Cricetulus griseus: one gene and its partners. The protein of the gene in region 3 binds, or shares a complex with, the protein of the main gene of each other region. Links are inferred from orthologs where the notes say so. Each region holds a gene or a part of one and is shown on either strand. Other genes may lie near its edges.

Evidence for each region.
Region 1: the proteins of Bccip (region 3) and Tent5a are in contact, whole or in part, in a crystal structure (PDB 8EXE), measured with the Homo sapiens proteins. The link is inferred for Cricetulus griseus from reciprocal best matches to the Homo sapiens genes BCCIP and TENT5A. Residues at the interface, in NP_510868.1 of Homo sapiens: Val57, Asn58, Ile59, Glu60, Phe61, Glu62, Ala63, Tyr64, Ser65, Leu66, Gln146, Val149, Leu150, Phe152, Cys153, Glu154, Lys155, Asn156, Cys157, Glu158, Lys159, Glu163, Lys167, Leu203, Ala204, Ala206, Thr225; in NP_060103.2 of Homo sapiens: Arg87, Gly88, Asp139, Glu151, Gln155, Lys158, Lys184, Glu185, Val188, Gln189, Lys190, Met191, Val192, Lys193, Val194, Cys195, Asn196, Asp199, Trp201, Asn213, Arg289, Lys295, Glu331, Arg334, Gln341, Asn342, His343.
Region 2: the proteins of Bccip (region 3) and Tent5c are in contact, whole or in part, in a cryo-EM structure (PDB 8EQB), measured with the Homo sapiens proteins. The link is inferred for Cricetulus griseus from reciprocal best matches to the Homo sapiens genes BCCIP and TENT5C. Residues at the interface, in NP_510868.1 of Homo sapiens: Val57, Asn58, Ile59, Glu60, Phe61, Glu62, Ala63, Tyr64, Ser65, Arg136, Gln146, Cys153, Lys155, Ala204, Gly205; in NP_060179.2 of Homo sapiens: Asp90, Asp92, Glu102, Gln106, Arg109, Lys135, Glu136, Val139, Gln140, Lys141, Leu142, Val143, Lys144, Val145, Cys146, Thr147, Asn164.

What each region holds. Positions count from the first base shown.
Region 1 is NC_048597.1:195,536,074-195,543,133, forward strand, and holds the start of Tent5a (terminal nucleotidyltransferase 5A), read right to left. Parts: upstream 4,220-7,060; 5' UTR 3,970-4,219; coding exon 3,950-3,969; intron 3,763-3,949; coding exon 3,216-3,762; intron 2,140-3,215; coding exon 1,363-2,139; 3' UTR 1-1,362.
Region 2 is NW_023276806.1:56,480,456-56,487,668, reverse strand, and holds the start of Tent5c (terminal nucleotidyltransferase 5C), read right to left. Parts: upstream 4,569-7,213; 5' UTR 4,314-4,568; intron 1-4,313. UniProt on the Homo sapiens protein: Catalyzes the transfer of one adenosine molecule from an ATP to an mRNA poly(A) tail bearing a 3'-OH terminal group and enhances mRNA stability and gene expression.
Region 3 is NC_048596.1:67,158,882-67,165,883, forward strand, and holds the start of Bccip (BRCA2 and CDKN1A-interacting protein), read right to left. Parts: upstream 4,152-7,002; 5' UTR 4,121-4,151; coding exon 3,959-4,120; intron 1-3,958. UniProt on the Homo sapiens protein: During interphase, required for microtubule organizing and anchoring activities. During mitosis, required for the organization and stabilization of the spindle pole.

The DNA of each region.
Region 1 (7,060 bases), on a different chromosome or scaffold from region 3:
AAAAGAAGGAAAAAACTCACTAAAAATGTATAATATCTGCTCTTCCTATCAAATATATTACTCATTTCTCTCCATTTCTCTTATTTTATATGGGTTTTAATTTGTCATTGCAATATGCCCATGTCTTCTATGATCCTACCATAAACATAAAATGCACAGTATTTCAAAATTTCCTATTTGATACATTGTTTTAGGTAATAGACAAAGGAGTGTGTGTATATACACACACATATCATATATATGTCACATATATGGGTGTGTATATACACACAAACAATATACGCACACGTACCTATGATAACATCACACCAAACAATATCAACTTTATATAGGTTTTTGCCAAGAAAAAATAGGGCATTTCCTTCACCATTCACAAGCTTATATGTTGTTTTATTTTTCTTGAGTCCCTGATAAAATAAAATAATCATTAAACCATAAAATAACCTTTTCCACTTCAAATCCTCTGAAAGCAACAGGCACTTTGATGTGTATTGGTGTGTAACAAATATAGTAACTCTTTCTGTACCCTAGTCTATCACTTCTACTTGGGGATTTCTGTTAAATCTTTGGTCCTTGAGCATATTTTCTTGGCTACAGCTGGTTTTGCTTGCGTCTTCACATTTTAAGAACGCGAGCTATACACAAAGCTGGAATTAATGGGTTGTTATCATCATCATTGAGTTCCACTGTTCTTTACGAGAACAGCATCAAACTACTACTGTTCATTTGGATTCAGCAGTTTCTGTGAGGAGAAAGGGGTCCTTCCAGAGAAAGCACTTTGTTGCAAGATAGATTGTAGTCCCCAGAAAGGAGCCCCTCATTTCCCATGTTGTTACTTTCTGACATCCTCAACTGATAGACAAGGATTTTCTCCGATGTATTTTCCCTTCTGGGAATGCCATTTTAAAAGTTTTCCCACCATCCCCTCTCCCCTGTGGCAGAGCTATGGGAGTAGTTGCTGCAAACCCATATTGTCAACAATCAAGCCATTTATTTTTTAAATCCCCTTGTTATCTTGGGAGAACTTGGCTGCTTTTACTAATGGGCCTCTTGTTTGAAGGTACAATCCAATTGGGTAGAGACCACAGGGGTGGGTGGCTAAGGAGGGTGACAACTTGAGATCATGCTCCTTCCTGTATCAATGGAAAGATCCATAAGCCTTTCCAAGCAATCAGGAGCATGCCCCCAGTGCACAAAACGCATCCCTAACTAGGGATGGGTCACTCCCTTTTGTTGTTGTTGTTGTTTTGTATTTTTCTTTCTTTCTTTCTTTCTTTCTTTCTTTCTTTCTTTCTTTCTTTCTTTTTGTTTGTTTCTATCTTGTCTGAAATGGCTTCCCCACAGGACATTTTTAAGTGATTTTTAATTGCAGGGTAACCAAGTGGAGTATGTCTGCTGCTGGCATGTGAACACTGGCTGAACTTGTGCAATGTAGTAATTGCTAAAGTTAGCATCTGCAACATAGGGGGCGGGCTGGTAATAGCAAGTGACATTAGCCACGTTAGGGATGACATTTTGGTCGGCTAGCACCCGGATTGCCAGCATGGTGATAAGGTTTAAAGTCTGCCTCCTTTCATGTCCCATCAGGCACACTGTACTCTCATTTACCACTCCATGAAGGGTCATGAGATAGTCATACTTGCGGTCTTCCAAGCCCACGAAGTGGTTCTGCAAGTAGGATTCCAGCTTTCTCTGCTGCTCTCCAATGTCTGAGAAGTCGATAAAAAACCTGGAACACATGTACCTCTGGAGGGTCTTGATCTCATCCGAGGCGGGCCTGAAGCCCCTCACTAAGAGGTTGCAGTACTTAAGAAGGCCTCCCCCTCTTATTTCCTCTGGGTTCCTGGTAGCAATGATCTTGTTGCAAAGGTGATCAAAGGCTTCGTGGAAATCCCCGTAGACACTCTCGCCAATTATTGTGGGATGAAATGTTTCTGTCATTGGGTTCTCAGAACACTCGTAGAAGAGGAGGAGAGAGTCTAATTTGATTTGGAAAGAATCTACACTGAACTCGAACTGCCTCCGGAGAGAATCCACAAACTTCAGCTCCACGTTTTTGCCGCTGTTGTTTGACAGGGATATGAGGCTCCACCGGTCCGAGTCGTTGCACACTTTAACCATTTTCTGTACGTAAGCTTCCTACAGTTTAAAAGATGAAACAAGATGAGCAAAACAGGCGGGGAGGAGGGGTGTTGAAGAACAATAAATATATCTCAGCTTCTCGGCTGAGAATTATTTCGCTGCTTCCTGTTTGTTATGTCAAGTTTCAGCAAAACACTACCTATGAGCTTAAACAGTCTTAGGAAAACAGGAAAAAAAAATTTAACGAGTAGTTTTGCCGTCTGGGAAAGAGACTAGAAGTAATAGTTTGAGGCTTTTGGCAGACGCAGCAGAGTACTAAGAGGTTCTGTTGTCATGTCTGACTTCAAATGTTATTTTTTGAAGATGGTCTAATAGGCTCAATATTCACTCAGTATCCACAGAAAAGCAGACAGTGTTGGGAGTGTGGCTCTGACCCTAGTCCCCAGCCAGCCACCGGTTCTCCTCCCCCATAGGCAATCAATCTTATCAGTCTCTAGTATGTCCCTCCGGTGACACTCTACAGTTACAGCTAAAGAGGAACTAAATTGCCTTCAGACAACTTTAATTAATTATACAAAATGCCACCTAAACCGAAGGGGAGGGGCATAATATTACATCCTCAACATGTAAATTAGCCGGGAGAATCACCAATATTTTAAATGCTGAAGTCATTTGAACCTTGAGTAGGAACCTATTCACATTTTCCAACACAATAAAAACCCATTAACTCAATTCTGCTTCGAGCTGCTATTTTCCCAAAGCCTAGATCACAAGATGACTCAAAAAAAAAAAAAAAAAAAAAAAGAATGTTTACATCATTCCAATCTTCCACCAATCAGAATGTACTCTGGACAGGAGTCCAGAAAGGAAAGTCAAGAGTTAAACCATACAGATAAGGAAGAGAAGGGAATGCAAAGGAGGAAGCAGAGAGTTGTGACACTGAAGCTCCTGGAAAACTGAAACACTCCACACCATTCTCTCACCTTACTTCACTCGTGGAAAAAAAAATCAAAAATAAATAAGCGTCCGCACCGGGGCCGAATTAGCGGCAATTAAGGCAAGTCAGGCTTGCCTTCTGTCAGCACCCCAAGCCCGCCTCTGTACCCAAGCCCATCATCTCCAAGTGGCTTTACCTTGAGAGTGAGCGGTGTGATCTTCTCCTTGTTCACCCCTTCGGGCAAGAAGTCCAACAGGCAATCCAGCACGACATCCTTCACAGTCTGAAACTCCTCTTCCCCACGCAGATCCGCGCAGAAGATGAGGTCCAGGTCCTTGTAGCCCAGGCCACTGTCCTGGTGCAGGACATGACTGGCGGCCGAGCCATTGAGACGCACGTCGCGGACACCTATGCTCTTCTCCTCCAGGCGCCTCCGCACCACCTTCACAATCAGGCTCGGCTGCAGCTCGAGCGTGGGGAAGTTGCCGCGCCCGTGGATCGGGATGGTCTCGCTCAGGATGCCGTCCAGCCGCTGCACTTGCTCCCAGTTCAGCACATTGCAGTGAGCCGTGGGGCTTTCGCAATAGTCCAAGCAGCGGTCGCCGAAGCTGCTGCCGCCGCCGCCGAAGTCACCACCCAGGGGGATGTAGGGGCCGCAGGTCAGCTCGTCCTCCGCCATGGCAAAGTACCCTTCGCCCTCGGCCATGTAGTGCCCGCCGAATGCCACTTGGCCTTGGTCAGTCCTAAAAGATAAGAGTGGGTTGAGGAGAACGGCAGGGAGGTGCGCGGGTGCGGGGACAGGGACCCTCCGAGGGGCCTGGGCTTCACCTCCCCGATTTTGACCCGCCTGGAGCTACCCAGAGTAGCCCTCCTTCCCCGACCCACCCCAGTGCCCAGCCGCGCGCCGTGCCCCGCAGAGCAGCCCCGCACCAAAAGTATCTCTGATGCATCTGGAAAGCGCAAGCGAGAGTCCCGTCTGTGTCACCTGGAGACGGCCGCCCCTTCTAGGAGCGCAGGCGAGCGAGGAACCGCGAGGCGGACACACTTCGCAAGAGCTGCGAGTGCGCTCCCGGCAGCGGCCCGCGACTTCTCCGCGCAGACCCCCGCCGCGCCCTGAGCGTTCCGCCCCTCGCCCGCGCCCCGCCCGCGCGCCCCGCTGCGGTGGTCTCGGAGGTGGCGGCTCTCGATGCCGCCAATGCCGCCGCGCACACTCGCGTCTCTGGAGCTTTAGCAATTGTGCGGGGGAAATGTCTTCAGTACTTTTTTTATACCGGGCTTCTCCGCGCTTCCGGGGCCCCAGAGAGCGGCGATCGCCACACCCTCTCATTTGCATAGGGCACCGCCCCCAGCGCCACCCCCGCGGGCAGTCGCTGGGTGGACAGTCGCCGAGCTCGGAGCTGCTGGCTGCCGGCCAGGGTGCGCAGCCCCTGGCTGTGTGCAATAGCAGATGCCTGTGGCGCATACGTGTAGATTTATCTATTTCTGCACGTCCTCGCACACACCCCCAAAGAGGAGACACTTTTGAACGCCCCAAATGTGATAACCAGCCATCAAAACTGGATCAGGGTTAAAAATCGCACAACTCCAGAAACTTCCCAAGCCTTGTCTTCTGGTCTGGTGCAGCGCGTCACTGCCGCGTAACTCTGGGTCTCCTGGAGGTTCCTCCAACAGTGTCCGTTTGTGGCTAGACGTCCGATTCCACTATGGACTCTGGGCCAAGTGTGGTCTCCAGAGGCAACTTGTCACGCACATCAGTCTCTGTGCGGGAGGGGGAGGGTTTGCTGAGAACTGAGTTTCGATTCTGGAAACCTCGAGAAGTGCTGGGGAAGTTGGGGGCCAGCCAGCCTTAGTGCGCATCTAGCTACTGAGGGCGAGCGGGACGGGAGCGCGTCACCCATCGCGCAGCTCCGCGGGCGCGTGGCCAATGGCGGGGTCGCGGAGCGCAACCCCAGCAGTGTACGAAAGAGGCCGCCAGGGTGGCGGTCCTTCCGCGCAGACCTAAGAGGCGAAGCGCGTTCCTCGCAGCCTCTGAAGTTCTCAGTTCTAAAGTGAATAAAAATGTCAGTGATCTAGGTAGGGTCTTGCTTCTTACCAGACAGAAAGGACAAATTTAAAAGATGCGAAGTTTCTCCCCTCCAGCTTTAGACGCTGGTGTAGCTCTTAAGGATTGGAAAGGTTATCTCCGCGCTCTGGCACCATGGTGTTTGTTAGAAAGCTCCCCGCTTTTGCTTGCCCACTTCCTCCACCCGCTGCCTCTTTCCAAAGTAATGCTCAGCCGCCCTAGCTCCAGGTAGAGGCTGTGGGCCTCTGCAGGCCGGATAGAGAGGACAGGCCCTGAGATGAACAAACATTTCCCCCAAGGCCCTGCACAACTGCAGAAACCCAGCCTCTGGATTTGGGGAGCTCTAGCCTAGAAGTCCAACCTGTACCGCTCTGAGTTGAGGGATGGGGTGCGGGGGTGTCGCCCACGCAGATCTAGCTGCGGGACAACGCCGCCCCCTGCTGGTGCCCTGCGAAGCCGAGTCCCCAAAATGGAGAAACTCGACTGGAGGCCAGGCTTCCTTAGCATAAACAAGGCCTAGGCCAAATTGGGTTGAGGAATTGAAGGAGCCCTGGACCCCTACGTTGTTCTTATAAGCCCACCGCTTTCTTTCAGGACGTGTCCAACCATGAACTCTGCCTAACAACACATTTCATATATATGAAAAGTGTGTGTGTGTGTGAGAGAGAGAGGAGAGAGAGAGAGAGAGAGAGAGAGAGAGAGAGAGAGAGAGAGAGAGAGAGAGAGAGAGAGAGAGAGAGAGAATATCGCTGAGCAGCTCAGAAAAGCCTCAAATTCAAGCATCCTCCTGAGTGACATGATTACATGTGTGAGGTACTACTGAGCTCTTTCCACACACACCTCACAGTCTTCCAGTCAAGAAGGCCTTCAGTGTTATAGGGGTTTGGAAACAAAGGACTAAGAATTAATGGGAGCCTCACAAATTCACAACCAGTAAATTTTGAGGTCAGGCCTTGCACCCCCCACAACCATTTGACTGTGAATGTTATTTAGTCTTCATTGACTGAATGAGATGTCCCTGGTTTAGTTCTTCCTTCCCAGTGGAAACTGAAGCAAGCATTGTGGGGAGGGAGCCAGTGGGAGAAGAGAGTACTGTGGATATAGCTCAATGATAGAGAGTTTGCCTGGCTCTGAATTTAATTTCCCTACACACACACACACACACACACACACACACACACACACACACACACACGGAGAGGGACATAATATTTTTGATAGATTGTCAGGAAATATTTTCATCAAAGGCTGATAAGAATTTTGCCTTTTCTTAAAATAATAATAAAATGACTCTCCATGCCTTAAATACACTGCATTGGAAAAACAACAACAATAGTTTAGCTCCACTCTCATTATTTTGTTCTGTCTTTTAAGCTTCCAACAGAAGGAGTGAGAAAAACAAAGTCCAAACTACAGTAAGCCATAAGCAGGCTGAGTTATTTGCTCACACCTGCAATGTGTCCTGTGGGGCTGAAGAAGAGCTTCAACATAATTAGAAAGTTGTCAGGGGATCCTGGCAAGAGGGCCCAGCCAGAGCTTGCACTGCACTGGCAGTGACTGAAGCCTGTTCTCTAGGTGGGACCCTCTCCTCAGCAGTGGACACCCTTGTCTGCACAGCTGCTCCCGAGGCCTCTCCCAAGAAAAGGAAACTTGGCTGAGAAATAGGAGGTCGTGGAGGGCCCACCGTGTCACACCACATGCTGGAAGAGAGAGTCCCTGCCACGGGTGAGGAACACTCTGTTTCCTCCTAGCTAGCAGGAGGATTCTTTGTGGATAACACTTCCTTAATAAGAAAGCATTCCCCATTGCCAAGCATAAACTAGACCCTCCTGCCTGCCACCCACACTGGGACATCTGGGGCAACTCACTCTTGGCCGTGCCAGGGAAGACAATTGAATTATTGGGTTAATATATGCCTGCTGCATAGAGGCTACTTGTTACACACTGCTGAATGGAAGAATATGCTCTTCATTGTCCCT
Region 2 (7,213 bases), on a different chromosome or scaffold from region 3:
GAGGCAGGGGCATGCAGCCAGGCCGGGCTGGCCTCATTCTGTAAGGCCAAGTGTGGAGAGAAGGGAAGGGGGATTGAATGGGATAAGGAGATGATGATTCATGATCCCTGAATAATTTTCTTCACTTTTTTTTTTTAAATAGAGACCAGATATGGAGACAACAGGGGGCTTCTTTAAAAAAAAAAGCCTTTTAGTTCCATATTATTTTTTTAGAAACAAGAAAATATGCAAAAGAAAACTGTAAAATACTGGAGCAGAAAGATGTGGGAAAATATGGCTCTCGGATGAGAGAAGATCTGTCAGAGCCTGAACAGACGTCCCAAAGACATATTAAAATAAAGTTCATTTGGGGGAAGGGGTTGTGCTCAATCCCTCCTCCCCCAAATATCAAAGTCTGTATTTTGCAAGGCAGGGTAGGACAGTTAGGGACCACCTGCCATGGAGCAGCCAGGAAAGCATCAGGAAATAGCATCTTAGAGGAATACAGGGAGATCTCAGGGATGGGCAGATCCTGGGAACTTACTCTAGTGCTCCAGGCAGAGGACTGATCTCTCTGGCCAGAGACAGGGAGGCTGCTGCTACTCTCATCCAGCTCCTGTCTACAGTCCCCTAAACCAGGTCAGTGATGACAGTGAGAAACAAAAAAAATAAAAAATAAAAAAAGAACGAGTCAGCAGAGCCAGCAGCTGAGTGAACACGGAGAGAGAAAGGCTGAGTGAGCTAGCTGGGGCTGGGAGGACAGGAGGGAGGGTGGAGAGCTGGGGGGTGGGGCTAGAGGCTGGCCAGGCTTAGGAGTTTCAGCTGCTAATCTATTTGCACTCACTGCTCCTCAGCTCCAAACCTACACTGCTGAGGCTTCCCTGAAAAGATGACCAGGAGCCTCTGATGCAAGAAGCTCCATCCTCCAGGACTTGACCCAGCAGAACACTCAATCCAATCGAGCTTCCTACTCTGTCTGGGAGGAGCAACAGGCAGCCTTCAGTAGAAGGTGCATTCTCTTTAGAGGAATATGTCTGCATGCAAGGCCATGCATGCACTCTCTCTAGGCAGGGATCAGGACTCTATAGAGTGACCAGAAATCCTACTTTTCTGGGGTCCATGTGTGAGGAGGGGGGCGAGACAACTGAGAGAAAAACAAGTTCTTCAAGAGCATCATAAAGGCAGCCTAGCCGCTCTCACCTCCAAAGCTCTTCCACAGGCTTTTCACATACCACTCCCTAAGCCTCCCAAGCACCTGGCACCAAATACCACCTAGGAAGTACTTTCTGACCCAACCGCCCGCCCGCCTGCCTGCCTGCCTGCCTGCCCTTATCCAAGAAATAAGCACCTCCTTGCAGCTGAATGACCCACAGTGGAAAATGCTCTGAAACCATAAAGCTTCCTTGCACACAGATCTGCTTCATGTCAGTAATTATTTCTTCATATTAAGTTTTTTTTTCTGTTGTTCCAAAAAGTTCTGCAAACACTTCAAGAGCAAGCTACAAGGGCCAGCTGTACAGAATACTAATTTGAAACAGTTCACAAGGTCCCCTTATGCAGTTGGGTTATGTAAAGATGCTACTTTCTATGACCATTTCAATTCTAAATAAAAGCTTCCTTACAAGGAATGCATCCCATCAAAAGGTTAAAAAGTGGGAGAAACCTATGGTCCAAGAGATTAAGAGGTCGGCTTTACTGTTGTCTCAAGTAGCTTTAAACTCATGGGCACTTCTTTAAATATGGAGGAGTTGGCGTCATCATAATACAACCTCATTAGCTACAGTCAAAACACCAAGATGGTGGAGGGCAGCTTTCCACATTTCCCCGTTTCTTCAATAATGAGAGAGAGCAACAGACCAGTCTTAGTCCAGGAAACGCCTCAGACTAAACACATACACACACACAGCACACACAAACACACACAGCACACACAAACACACACCACACACACACACACACACACACAGAGAGAGAGAGAGAGAGAGAGAGAGAGAGAGAGAGAGAGAGAGAGTTGTGTGTTTCAGGGACAGGAAGGAGATAAACTCCCAAACGCCACCATACCTCAGGCTTATATAGCTTTTCTCAGTAATATAGGCAACAACGATCTAACCCGGTTGCCCTTCTTCATTGGCTGACTCTAGGATGGCATAGCAAAGAAGAAAGATGAAGAAAAAGGTACTACTTAGTGGATGGAGCTGGAAGGAAGGAAGGAAGAAAGGAAGGAAACATTCAATGCAGTTTTCTGATTCTGTAACAGCTGAGCCTCACTAACCACACAACAGCCCACTTTTAAATCACCTTCATGGCTGAGCTGTGGCTGAACTGTCTGGTGGGCAGTGCACGGCACATATAATCTGCCTGGTCTTGAACACTGGAGGATGCAGACTAAGTGTGTGCTTGACTGGGAGACGGATAGGGAATGCAGGAGGCTGCAAGTCAGGCTGAAAGCTTGGTAATGATACTGGCAGTGGAGCTGAAGAGTGAGCCCTTAGCACTCCACACACTCTCTGACCAACAGGCCAAGAGCCAAACCCTTCCCTCTAGAGTTCACAAACTGATCTCCAGATACAAGGCAGGTATTATGGGAGAAACTCACCCTAAAGAGTGTGACTATTTGCTCTAGGTGCACACACTAAAGTTACTTACAAAAGTAGGGACCTCTCTTTTGGTAACAGTCTAGAGATAGCTGAGCACCCCACCTCCATAATTTTAATGACAGTAAGGGACATTCTGTGTAGATACTGGAACAATTATTACAAACATCAAAATCTTCTACACATCAGAATCTTCAAAAAGCTCCTAATTCACATCTGGGTACTCCAAAACCAAGGTGTCCCTTCAGCTACCTGCTCAGAGTTACGAAGAACTTGATCTTCACAAACAAGAATGGCAAAAGACAGAACCACAGTTGGTCCAGCTGGCCGCAGGGAGAAGAAATTCAACCTTCTTTAGTCCCCACCCCACACCCTTCAACTGCAGGGTAAAATGTGGGGCGTGGGGGGGGGGCGGGGAATCACACCTCTGGAGACTTCCAGCACGGTAGAATTCTTGGTAAGCTTTCCTTCCACCCTCTCGGCTGCCTGGCAAGCTTTCTGGCTCACTCACTGCCTTGCCAAGCAAACTACACTGGAAGTTGTAGCCAGCAATGGCCACCCTCACCCTCCTTCCAGGGGGCAGCTGGAAGGAGGAGCTAACCATCTTGACTTTTACTTCCAGAACCAAACTCGTCACAATTCAAACGGTTACATATATAGCTGTTCTTTGCAAATCTGTTAAGTCTATTAAGTCTTTCGTTGTCAGCACTTTATCCTCAAATCGAGGGGCAAAAAGGATTTCAGACCAGGAATTAGTCACGGCCCTGCAGAAGGGTTTCTACACATTTAAAGGGGGAGAGGGGAGAAAAGGGGCTGAGACTACCCAGATCTGACAATCGGCTCAGGTGGAAATTCTATATTCTGGAAAAACCAAATAGGCATTTCCTCACCAGCGCCCCCCCCCCTTGACTTTGAGGTCGCCCGCCCGCCCGCTCACTGAGTATCAGAACTTAGGTGTAAGGGCTACCAGCTGGCACTGCAGGTTCCTCAACTTCCTCAGATGTCCCACCCACCCTCTTCGCGAACGGCGGTAAAGGGTACCCACACCGCAACGGGCAGCCGCGCCTCTAAGTCACCAACAGCACCGCTATCAGAGTCAACTAACTCTGCACGACTTTCAGCACACGCGGTAGGCAACTTTCGATCCCCAAGGGGAGGAACCAGGTTTCTCAGTCGCCGTATTCTCGAGAAGTTTCCGAGAGACGCGCAGCTTCTTGGCCGCGCGCAATGTCCACAGTCCCAGAAGAGAGAATGATCTCTGCCGCCATCCTGGGCACTGAGCCCAGGAAGCTGCCCTCCCCTCGCCTGCCAGGCTCTAACCCCGGACCGCAGCGTCTCCATCTAAGCCGCCGAAACCGCGGGGTTCAAAACCGCCCCGGTTCTGGCTGCAGTGTGCGCACCACAGGGGCGCAGCGCAGAGCCGACGGACCTACTGGCAGGGTCAATGAAAGAGCAAGAAGTGATCGCCACCCACTCTCCTGTTGCCGGGCCAGCAGGAGCTCGCCCAAGTTTGCCAGACCCCGGTCATAGTCTCTGAAAAGTTTGCGCTCTCTCACGGAGGTAGCCTGAGCCAGGGGCGCAGGAGCCGTGCGGGTCCTGACACCTGCCGGTGTCTCCCCTCCATCTCCGGGGAATCCCACCAGGCTCTGCTGGGACGAACCCGGGAGCGTGAGAGCGTGGCTCCCCGCTGGACCGCAGCAGCATCCTCACACCTGCGGAGGAAGAGGAGCGCAGACTCACCTGGACGCTGGAAGAGGAGGCGACAGAGGCAGGTGGTTGGCGTGGGCAGCCCCGAGCAGGAGCGGCGCGGTGACTATGGCCCCCAGGCAGCTGCCGCGAGTGAGCGGTCCCGCCGCCGCCCCCTCCGATCTTAACCGGCCTGACCACTCCCCCGCGCCTCCCCGCCCCTGCCCCCGCCCGCGGCCGGCCTCCCGGGGGAGCCAGGGCGGGGCGCGCCGGCCGCGGCCCCGCGGGATCCTTGCGCCCGGCGCTAACGGCGGGGGCCCGGGCGAATGCCGCCCTCTGATTGGCTCTGCGGGTCAATGGTTGCCGAGAGACAAGTAAACCTCCGGAGGCGCGAAGGGGCGGGGTAGCCCGGAGGCAGCGTTGCGCAGGCGCAATAGAGAGGGGGCTGTGTCGCCACCAATTTAGGAGTTGAGGGGACACTTTCGCTCTGTCCGCTCGCCTCCTTCTCTGCGGCTCCTGGTCTTTGCCTTCCCTTGCCCCGAGAGTTCTCACCTCCACCATTCTTGCTCCCTGTGGGTTGCGTTTTCTTTCTGAATTTTGGGCGCTCTTGGCACCAGTGGCTCCCTGATTCCGGGAGCCGGGAGTGGAAGCCCACGCCTGTCTCGCGGGGTGTTTGTGAAATCAGAAAACTTTTAGGTGGGTCCTGGAAATCTTATTCCTCGAGCAAATTGGCTGGAGGTGAGATCGTGGTCCTGGAGGAAAGGAAGCAGCTGATTTTCTGGCCGCGGGACCACCTGTGTGCAGTTAGTTAGTGGCCCCGGAACCCATCACAAAAGCCTAAAGCACAGCATCTAGGCCCTCAGAACGAACGGCAAAGGGCTTTGTGACCTGTTAATACCCGCCGGGCGGGGGACCCCGGACACTGCCCTTAACACCCCTACACGTGGTTGGTTGATGGCTCGCTCTGCTTCAGAATTCAGGCTAATGAGTGGGAATCTCCTTCACCACTATATATCTGGAGGGCCTTGAGAGGAGCTGTTTTTGTTTTATTTGGGGTTTGGGTTTTTGAGACAATGTCTCCTGAACCCAGACAGGCCTCTAAGTAGCCTTGGCTGACCTTTAACTGATCCTCCAGTGTGCACCTCCCACGACTGGGATTACAGGAGTGGCCTACCAGGCCCAGCCTTCCTGACTGGCTTAACCTATCCTCCATGAACCTCTACTTCCCATCTGCAGGATAGGAGTAAGGATGGGATAACTGAGACCAATATTAGGAAAATAGGCCTGGTGGTGGTGGTGGTGGTGGTGGTGGTGCACACCTTTATCCCCCCGCACTCAGGAGGCAGAGACAAGCAGATCTCTGCGAGTTCGAGGCCAGCCTGGTCTACAGAGTGAGTTCCAGGACAGCCAGGGCTGTTATACAGAGAAACTCTATCTCGAAAACAAAACGACAACAACAACAAAATTAGGAAAATAGTTATTAATCATGCACTGCTTGAAATAAAGTGCATGCCAGGTGCTGTGTAAGTCAGAAAGCAGTCATTAATAAACACTTGTTGAGCTTCCTTTGACTCTCTCCTGGGTACCTGGGGTGCAAGATGACTTCCTGAATCAGTGTTCTCTGCTCTCCTACCACCCCTGCCTAGCATGAGTGCCCTGCAGTGTCTGCTAGGCTGCGAAGAGTTCTCAAGTACAGGCTTTCTCTGGTGGGGGGAGGGGAAATTGTAACAGTATAAGACATCAGTATGAGAACTTACAGAGATTGGGTGTCCCTGTTCTTGAACACAAATTCAGGGGTAGGTGGTCAGTTTTGTTGTTGATGGTGTGAGCACTGAATGGTCTCACAGTGTCTATTATTGTGTGCTGAATGATGGGTGTGAGTACCCACAGGGCTGTCACCCACAATAGTCCAGCTTAGCCATGGCTCCTGCCACTCACTATCTCATAGGGTTCAGTTGCACTGGTATTTGAACTTGACATGAACTTGAAATAGAGAGTGAGAATTTTTCTGTCTGTAAGATTTCTCTGTTGTATGTAACAGTGACTCATTCTTCACTACTGCATATTCGTTCAATAACCAACAGTTTATGTTCTCAATTTACTGTTTGGTAGCCATTTCAGTTGCTTCAGGTTTTTGGACAGTCCATAGTGAATTTGCTGAAAATAGTCTTCTATGTGTAGAAGCATCATTCATGTCACACACATGCTAGGGATTGGAACTTCTGGTTTACAGAGTATACACATGTTAAGCTTTAAATATATTGCCAGTGATCTGAGTATGAAAAATAACCAAGGAAAAAATAAAAACTTAAACCATAAAACAAAAAAATAGATACATTTTTTAAAACAAAAGGGATAAACTGTTTATGTTCAACCAGTACTGTAAGATTCCTGGTGATGATAACACATATTTACCACTTTTGGTATCAAGGTGTTTAAAATGTTTTAACTATATTTTCTTGTTGGAGGGTGGTGTGCATACCACAGTGGGTATGTGGAGGTCATAGGACAGCACTTGGGAGTGGGTTCTCTCCTCCCAAGGTGTAGGATCTGGGGGTTGGATTCAGGTCCTCATCGGGCTTGGCCACAAGCAGCTTTGCTCGCTGAGCCATCTCCCGGGCCCAAGTGTTTCCTCTTTAAATTAAAAACAGGGATGTGCATTTCATTGTAATTAAACATTGTTTCTCTGGTGATCAATTCGATTGAGCAACTTTTCAGATGTTTACCATCCATTATGATGGTCTTTAAGGGATGTATCTATTCATGTCGTTTGCCAGTTTGAACTCTACAAGTTCTTTACATATTCTTGATATAAGTCCTTTGTTTCAAATACTTTCTCTCAACCTGTGGCTGACTTACAGTTTAATGTTACTTTCTGATTAAAATAATTTCTTAATTTTTAATCAGCCCAATTTATCAATCTTTGCTTATTTTTAAGGCCTAGTGTTTTGTGT
Region 3 (7,002 bases):
TTCATAACAGGGAATGGAAGGAGGGAAATGTTACCTTGTCAGGCCTCAAAACAGGCAAACCTAAAATCAGGATGGTGCTATGGGCCTTCAATGCCAACTTGCAGGTTTGGGGAAGGGGTATAAAAACCTCAATTTTGAGGTCATCCTGTTCTTCACAGGCAGACTCTTTCTCAAAGAAAAAAAAGGTAAATACTTTCAAAGATTGCCACCTAGACAGATTACAAAGGCCATTCATACCATTTCCTCATGTGATGCAAAAGCCTGAAGGTACAAAACACAGTGACTTGATTTAAATGTGAACACAGCCTCATCCAGATAAAACTGTTAAGCAGCCACAAAGAAGGAAAAAAAAAAAAAGATTATTCACCTGGCTTCAAAAAGCAATTGAAAAGACAAGATTACTTCTAAGTCCCCAGAAACTGCCTAGAGCTTAATTGACCCAGAGATGTGAGGCTACATTCTGTCACTTGGCAAATATTTACTAAGTAACAGCAGGTACCAAGCCTTGAGAGGAAATGGTGAAGCCTCGCCTGGTGGCACAGGCCTTCGATCCCAGCACTCCAGAAAATGAGGAAGGGCGATGGGAGTTGAAGGTAAAGATGTGAGTTCAAGGTCAAACAAGTGACATAGCAAGACCACACCAATAAATAAATAAATAGGGGATGAAATGGTGAGCAAAGCAGATGGGAATGACTGCTCTTGTGGAGCAGACACAGCAGACAGAAAACAAGTCTAAAGTTTCAACTGTATGTGCCATTCAAATGGGGGAGGGACGGGCAGAGAGAGTGCAGCAGGTAAAAGCACTTACTGCCAAAACTGACTACGTGAGTTCAATTCCTGGACTGAGATGGTGGGAAGAGAACTGGTTGCTGCAAATTGTCTTCTAATTTCCACATGTGTACTATGGGATATGAGCATGTGCATTTTCCCACGACCACGAGCAAGTACATAAACCCAGAGAAGAGGGATTTTAAATAAATCTGTAAAAGAATATGGGGATGATGGTAAGATAGCTCAGGAGTGCTGGGCCGTGGTGGCGCACACCTTTAATTCCAACACTTGGGCAGAGGCAGACGTATCTCAATGAGATTCAAGACCAGCCTGGTCTACAAATGAGTTCCAGGATAGCCAAGACTATTACACAGAGAAGCCCTGTCTCAAATAAATAAATAAATAAATAAATAAATAAATAAATAAACAAACAAATAAATAAATACAAAAAGACCCACACAGTAGGTAAAATCAGAGAACCGACTCCTACAGCTGCCCTCTGACATTTACACATCTGGCTATGGCACATACACATACAAATAAATTGAAAGTACATACTTAAAGCCGGGAGTTGGTGGCACACACCTTTAATCCCAGCACTCAGGGAGGCAGAGGCAGGGGATCTCTGTGAGTTCGAGGCCAGCCTGATCTACAGAGCAAGTTCCAGGATAGGCTTCAAAGCCACAGAGAAACCCTGTCCCGAACCGCCCCCCCCCAAAAAAAAAAGAAGGCATATGTCCCCCAGTCCTCTAACCACTTTGGTAAGCAGCTAGCAACAGAATCCAAGAGAAAAAGCTACCTCTGCAGGACCTGAGCTATACACATTCCTTTATTCTTGATAGACCATTGTTTTTTAAAAGGTTTGAGATTGATTCTGATCTTCCAGGATAATTTTCATGGACTTTTACATCAGAGAAATTAATTGTGGGTGAATAAATGTATCAGAAAATGAAAGCCTTCTTCAATTAAATGAAGGAAGAAATACCCACCAAGGATTTCCTCTTCTCTTCACGGTACTGTCAAACAACAAACACAGAAGCTGATGGATCCCCCCCACCCCACCTTTGTTTCTTTTTTCCTCTACATAACTATATATACACATTTTGCCTTAACTTGCTGTGTGGGCTAACTTGTAAAATAGTGACAATTCCTAAGTTTATGGTGCTGATATGAGAATTAAATGAGCTAATACAAAATGCACAGAGCCTGGGGGTATATATAGTTATTGTTATTATCACTGTCAATTTCTAGAGGGTAAATTCCTACAAGTTACTGAGTCAGGAGTTATATGTACTTTAAATTTTGATAAATTCTGTCAAATTACCCTCCAAAGAAGTTGCACAGATTTATGCTTCCACTAACAGAGCATGTAAGTGCTTATATTGCTACACTATTATCAATGATGGCATTCTTTCTGTTGCTGTGAAAAACAGCATGACCAAAAGCAACTTGGGAGGGAAAGGGTTTCTTTTATCTTACACTTCCAGGTAATTCTTCCTTGTGGAGGGAAGTCAGGACAGGAACTCAGGGCCAGAACTGACTGAAGCAAACCACAGAGACCACTGTTTACTGGCTTGTTTATACCACCCAGGACCAGGGGTGGCATCACTCACAGTGCACTGAACTCTCCCATATCAATTAATTAAGCAGATGCCCACAGACAAGCACACAGGCCAACGTGATTGAGGAAATCTCTCATCTGTGGTTCCCTCTCCCCACATTTTATAATTACAGTACACACATTTTTAGTCACTGGCAATCTGTTAAGATTTTCCCATGTTAATGAAAGAAGTGCTGACTTCTAAAACCCTAAGGTAGCAAAACAGCTGGTAAACATTTTTCTAAGTGAAAATGTTGAGATGGTGTTCAAAGCAAGATAGACAAAGCAAAGCAATGACTTGGAAGGGTAGACAAGCTACATATCCACATCATAGCCTCATTCCCAAAGCCGCACTACAGTTCAACTCCTCCTCCCTTGCACATTCACGTCAATGACCATTTTCACTCATTCTCTCTTGCCTGTTCTGAGCCAGCCATCCTGGCTGAATCCATATTCTACCCCACCCCCACCCCATCCCCCTGTCTTTCAAAAACAGGATTTAGGATTTTTCTACAAAGGAAATAGGAAGCCATTAGAGCATTCAATGAGGGAGAGTAGAATAGACCAGCCAGATCTCTCTGGCAGTAAATGGAGTACAGACAGTAGAAGGACAAAAATGGAAAGGCATGACAGTGAAAAGCTACTATAGATGGCTGGAAGTATGACTCAATGGTAAAGTGCTTGCCTACCATGCACAGTATACTGGGTTTGATTCGCAGCACTTCAAAAACAACAAAATAAAGTTACAGGTAATTTCGCTGTGGCTATCCCAGTCTTAATTTCATCTAAAAAAAAAAAAAAAAAAAAGGAAAACCTTTATAGTAACCAGACAAGAGATGATGGAAGTGTGAACTAGAATAGTAGCAGGATCAATATGTGCCTGGATACTGAAGGAAAAAGCTAATAGAATTTACTGATGGACTGGGTGAGGGGTGAGATAGGAGGCATAACACCGGCAAACTGGGGAACTATTATAAACCCTGCTTTGGACCGTCAAGTCTGAAGTCCCTAGACAGCAATTGTCTTGAACACTGTTTGAATCCTAATCATTCACCTAGAAAGAAGGGCTTCAACCACCGGAAAGTAGGTACTAAGAAAGGACATCAGTTCTGTGAGACCACAAAACCAAATCTGACCACGTTGGCTGTCCCAGGGAGGCAGGAAATACGGTCTAGCTGTGATTAGACAGACAGACAGACAGACAGACATAACGAAGGGGAAACTATGCAGGATGAAGAGCGTTTGAAGAGTGTAGGACAATGCAGGTAGCCTTTACGAAACTGCAAAGGGCCAGAGTGAGCAAGCCAGTGTAGCAGGGAGAGGAGAGAAGAAACTTCGTCGGTACGCTGGGCCAGTAAAGACTTGGGCCACTGAAGTAAGTGTGTGTGGGATTGGCCGGCTTCTGGGGGATGTAATTCACCCGGGCAGGGCTTCAAGGAGTTATGTGTAGAAAAGCCTGAGGTGAGAACCTGGGTAAGAATGTACCACGTAAGGTTCAACTCCTGAACCACAGCGACTATCACTTTACCACAGCTTCGGTTGCCTGAATTTTGTTTTCTCCCAAAAATATGGTCACATGTGCCTCACCTCGTCCACGATCTCGTCTTCATCCTCTTCCTCGTCACTGTCTTCATCGTCTTCTTCCTCACCCTCCACCTCATCCTCTTCTTCCTCCTCGCGCTGGTCCTGCTGTCCCAGAGGCCGCTGAACCCCGTTTCCCAACGCTCGCTTCTTAGCTTTGGATGCCATGCTGCCGGCCACACTGCGCCTGCGCAAATCCCGCCCCTGTCCTTCCGGTCTATCGTTGGCCTAGGGGTAAACAGGCTCAAAAAGTTCGCCGCGGAGTCGGCGCGACCCAGACAGAGCCCTGGATGAGTCCCGCAGAACTAATGTGACAGATTTATCTTCACCGCGGGGTCATGGTGTGACCCTCTCTTCTTCCCTCCATCCTCCTGCCGTCCTCATTCTCTCCGGGTCTTTCCTGTGTGCGCAGTGGTTGGGCCCATCCTGCGTTCCTTCCGCCGGCGCCTAGATGCCTGTGCGCGTGCACAGCCAGATGTGTACGGGCGGCCCACGCGCCTGAGGTACGAGCCCGGGGACCGCTAGCTGCCGGGTGAGGGGCGGCTCCCGGTTGTCTGTGCTCAGCAGCCCCGACAGGGACCGCGAGATTCTTGCCCCGCGGCGTGCAGGTCGGTCCTGCTTCTGAGCCCGCGAGGTAGGTGTCGGGCTCAGGACCCGACTAGGGCACAGGTCTGTGGACTTGCACGCAGGCCCTAGCGATCCGTGACTCCCGTGCAAAGAGGGGCTGACCGGCGCTCCCGGAGTCCGCGCCAGAAGGCCGGCTGATCCTGGCAGGGGCCGGGCCCATGCCATCTCCCTAACAAAGTTCTCAGTAGACAAGACGACCACATGGGACCACAGTGTCGTTAAAAGACTTGCTTGAAAAGAATAGAACCGAAAGAAAGGGATTGCGGCAAGTTAGCGAGTGTTACCCCGCCTCTGCCACTACTTGTGGATAAATGAAGTACTGGTCCAAAGTTTCAGATTTTAAGAGAAGCCAGATTTTTGCAAGGAGCATCCTGAAGGTTAGAACCTTCTACCAGTCAGGTTTATCCTACAGTCTGCTGACTTGAAGCTCCTTGTAAAGGTTATTGAGAAAGATCATTAACTAGAGAAAACATTAACTTCCTGACAAGAGGCTCTGTGATTCTCCCCCTCCCTTTTTTTTTTTCTTTAAAATTACGGCAGCATATGAGGTGTGTTTAATTCCGAAACCAGAGTGAGCTGCCCCTAGAAGTAAGGAAGCCTTTGCCAGAGAAATTTAGGGAATGTGAATAGCCCCAATGATTCTTCATCAGTCAGGACACCAAGGCCCCCATTAACCCAGAGTTCCCATGACGGTGAGATCTAGGTGTCCCGGGAGCTTCTTATGTACCAGTCTATATCGTGGACAGTAATGACACCAGGATTACACCTCTGATAGAGTAACTTAAAATGGCTACTTCCTAAATCCAGACCTCTACTTGGGTTTTGTAATTGTCCAAAAAAACATATTCTTGTAATGCATAACTATGACAATGCTAATAATAGAAAAAAGATTTAAAACATGTCAATAGAATTGCACTGAGACTCATGAACAATTTTCCCCCAAGTCTTTATAGTTTTTGTTGTTAGTATGGTAAAATATGCATAACAAAATTTAACACTTAGTGCATGGGCTTTTTTGTTTGTTTGTTTTTTTGGGTTTTTTGGTTTTTTTGAGACAGGGTTTCTCTGTGTAGGTTTGGAGCCTATCCTGGTACTCGCTCTGGAGACCAGGCTGGCCTCGAACTCACAGAGATCCGCCTGCCTCTGCCTCCCGAGTGTTGGGATTAAAGGCGTGCGCCACCAACGCCCCGTTGGTGGTTCTTGGCTCATGTTTATCTATACTGTTTCATAGGCATCACCACTATTAAACAGTTCCCCAGTATCAGGCTGCAAGATGGCTTAGTGGGTAAAATGCTTGATATACCAGCATTTCCAGCACCCACACGCTGCAACTGTAACCCCAGCACTGGGGTGATGGGTAGGACTAAGACAGTAGATCCAGGACTTGCTGAGCTTTAGGTTCAAGAGAGACCTGTTCTCAAAAAATGAGCTTAAGATGATAAGAGGCAGCCAGGCGTTGGTGGCACACGCCTTTAATCCCAGCACTCGGGAGGCAGAGGCAGGCGGATCTCTGTGAGTTCGAGGCCAGCCTGGTCTCCAGAGGAAGTACCAGGATAGGCTCCAAAGCTACACAGAGAAACCCTGTCTCGAAAAACCAAAAAAAAAAAAAAAAAAAAAAAAGAGTGATAGAGGACAGTGCTCATCATCAACAGGTACACAGGCACACAAAGAAAAAAAAACACAGTTCCCTAATATCACTTTCCACAGCTCCCTGGCAGTCACCTACTTCATCTGTATAAATCTGACAAGGGACCTTAATCACAGTACTCATGCATCATGATTTCTTGCCTAAGGCTGAACAGTTCCATTTCATACATGGTCTTCATTTTCAAGTTATGTCTGGACACTATTTGCTCATAGGTTTACCTATTAGACAGTGCTGCCATGAACATGAGTGTACAAATACCTCACTCGAGTCTCTGCTTTTGTTCTTTTGGAATCTGTGCCTAGAAGTGCAATAGCATAATCATGCAACTAATTCTATTTTTAAGTTTTTGAATGACTTTGTTTAATTTGCAAATTTTCCTGCATTGCTTCACAAGGTGGAAAAGGGGAAAGGCCTCTCTTTGTGCCATCGGATTAGTCCCTAATTTGGAGCCTGTGGTCAGGGTATGCACAGATTAGATGGCCTACCTGTGCTTTACTGACTACAGGGAACATAGAAGTAGATTGACAACTTCTCATTCCTCTTTAGCCCAGTATTTGTCTTAAAGGTCAGCTAGTAGCCAGTGGTTGGGTGGATGAGCCCTAGGCTTCAGATCTGGATTCTGGTTCTATTATTTATTCTGCTGACCTTGGGCAAATAAAGAGCCGTGGTTTCCCTTCCTGTAAAATGAGGATAATAGCTGCTTTGAAGACTTAAGTGAGGATTGCAAAATGCTTAGTCCACTGTGACAATTTGATCTGCCAATTTGATGGGATTG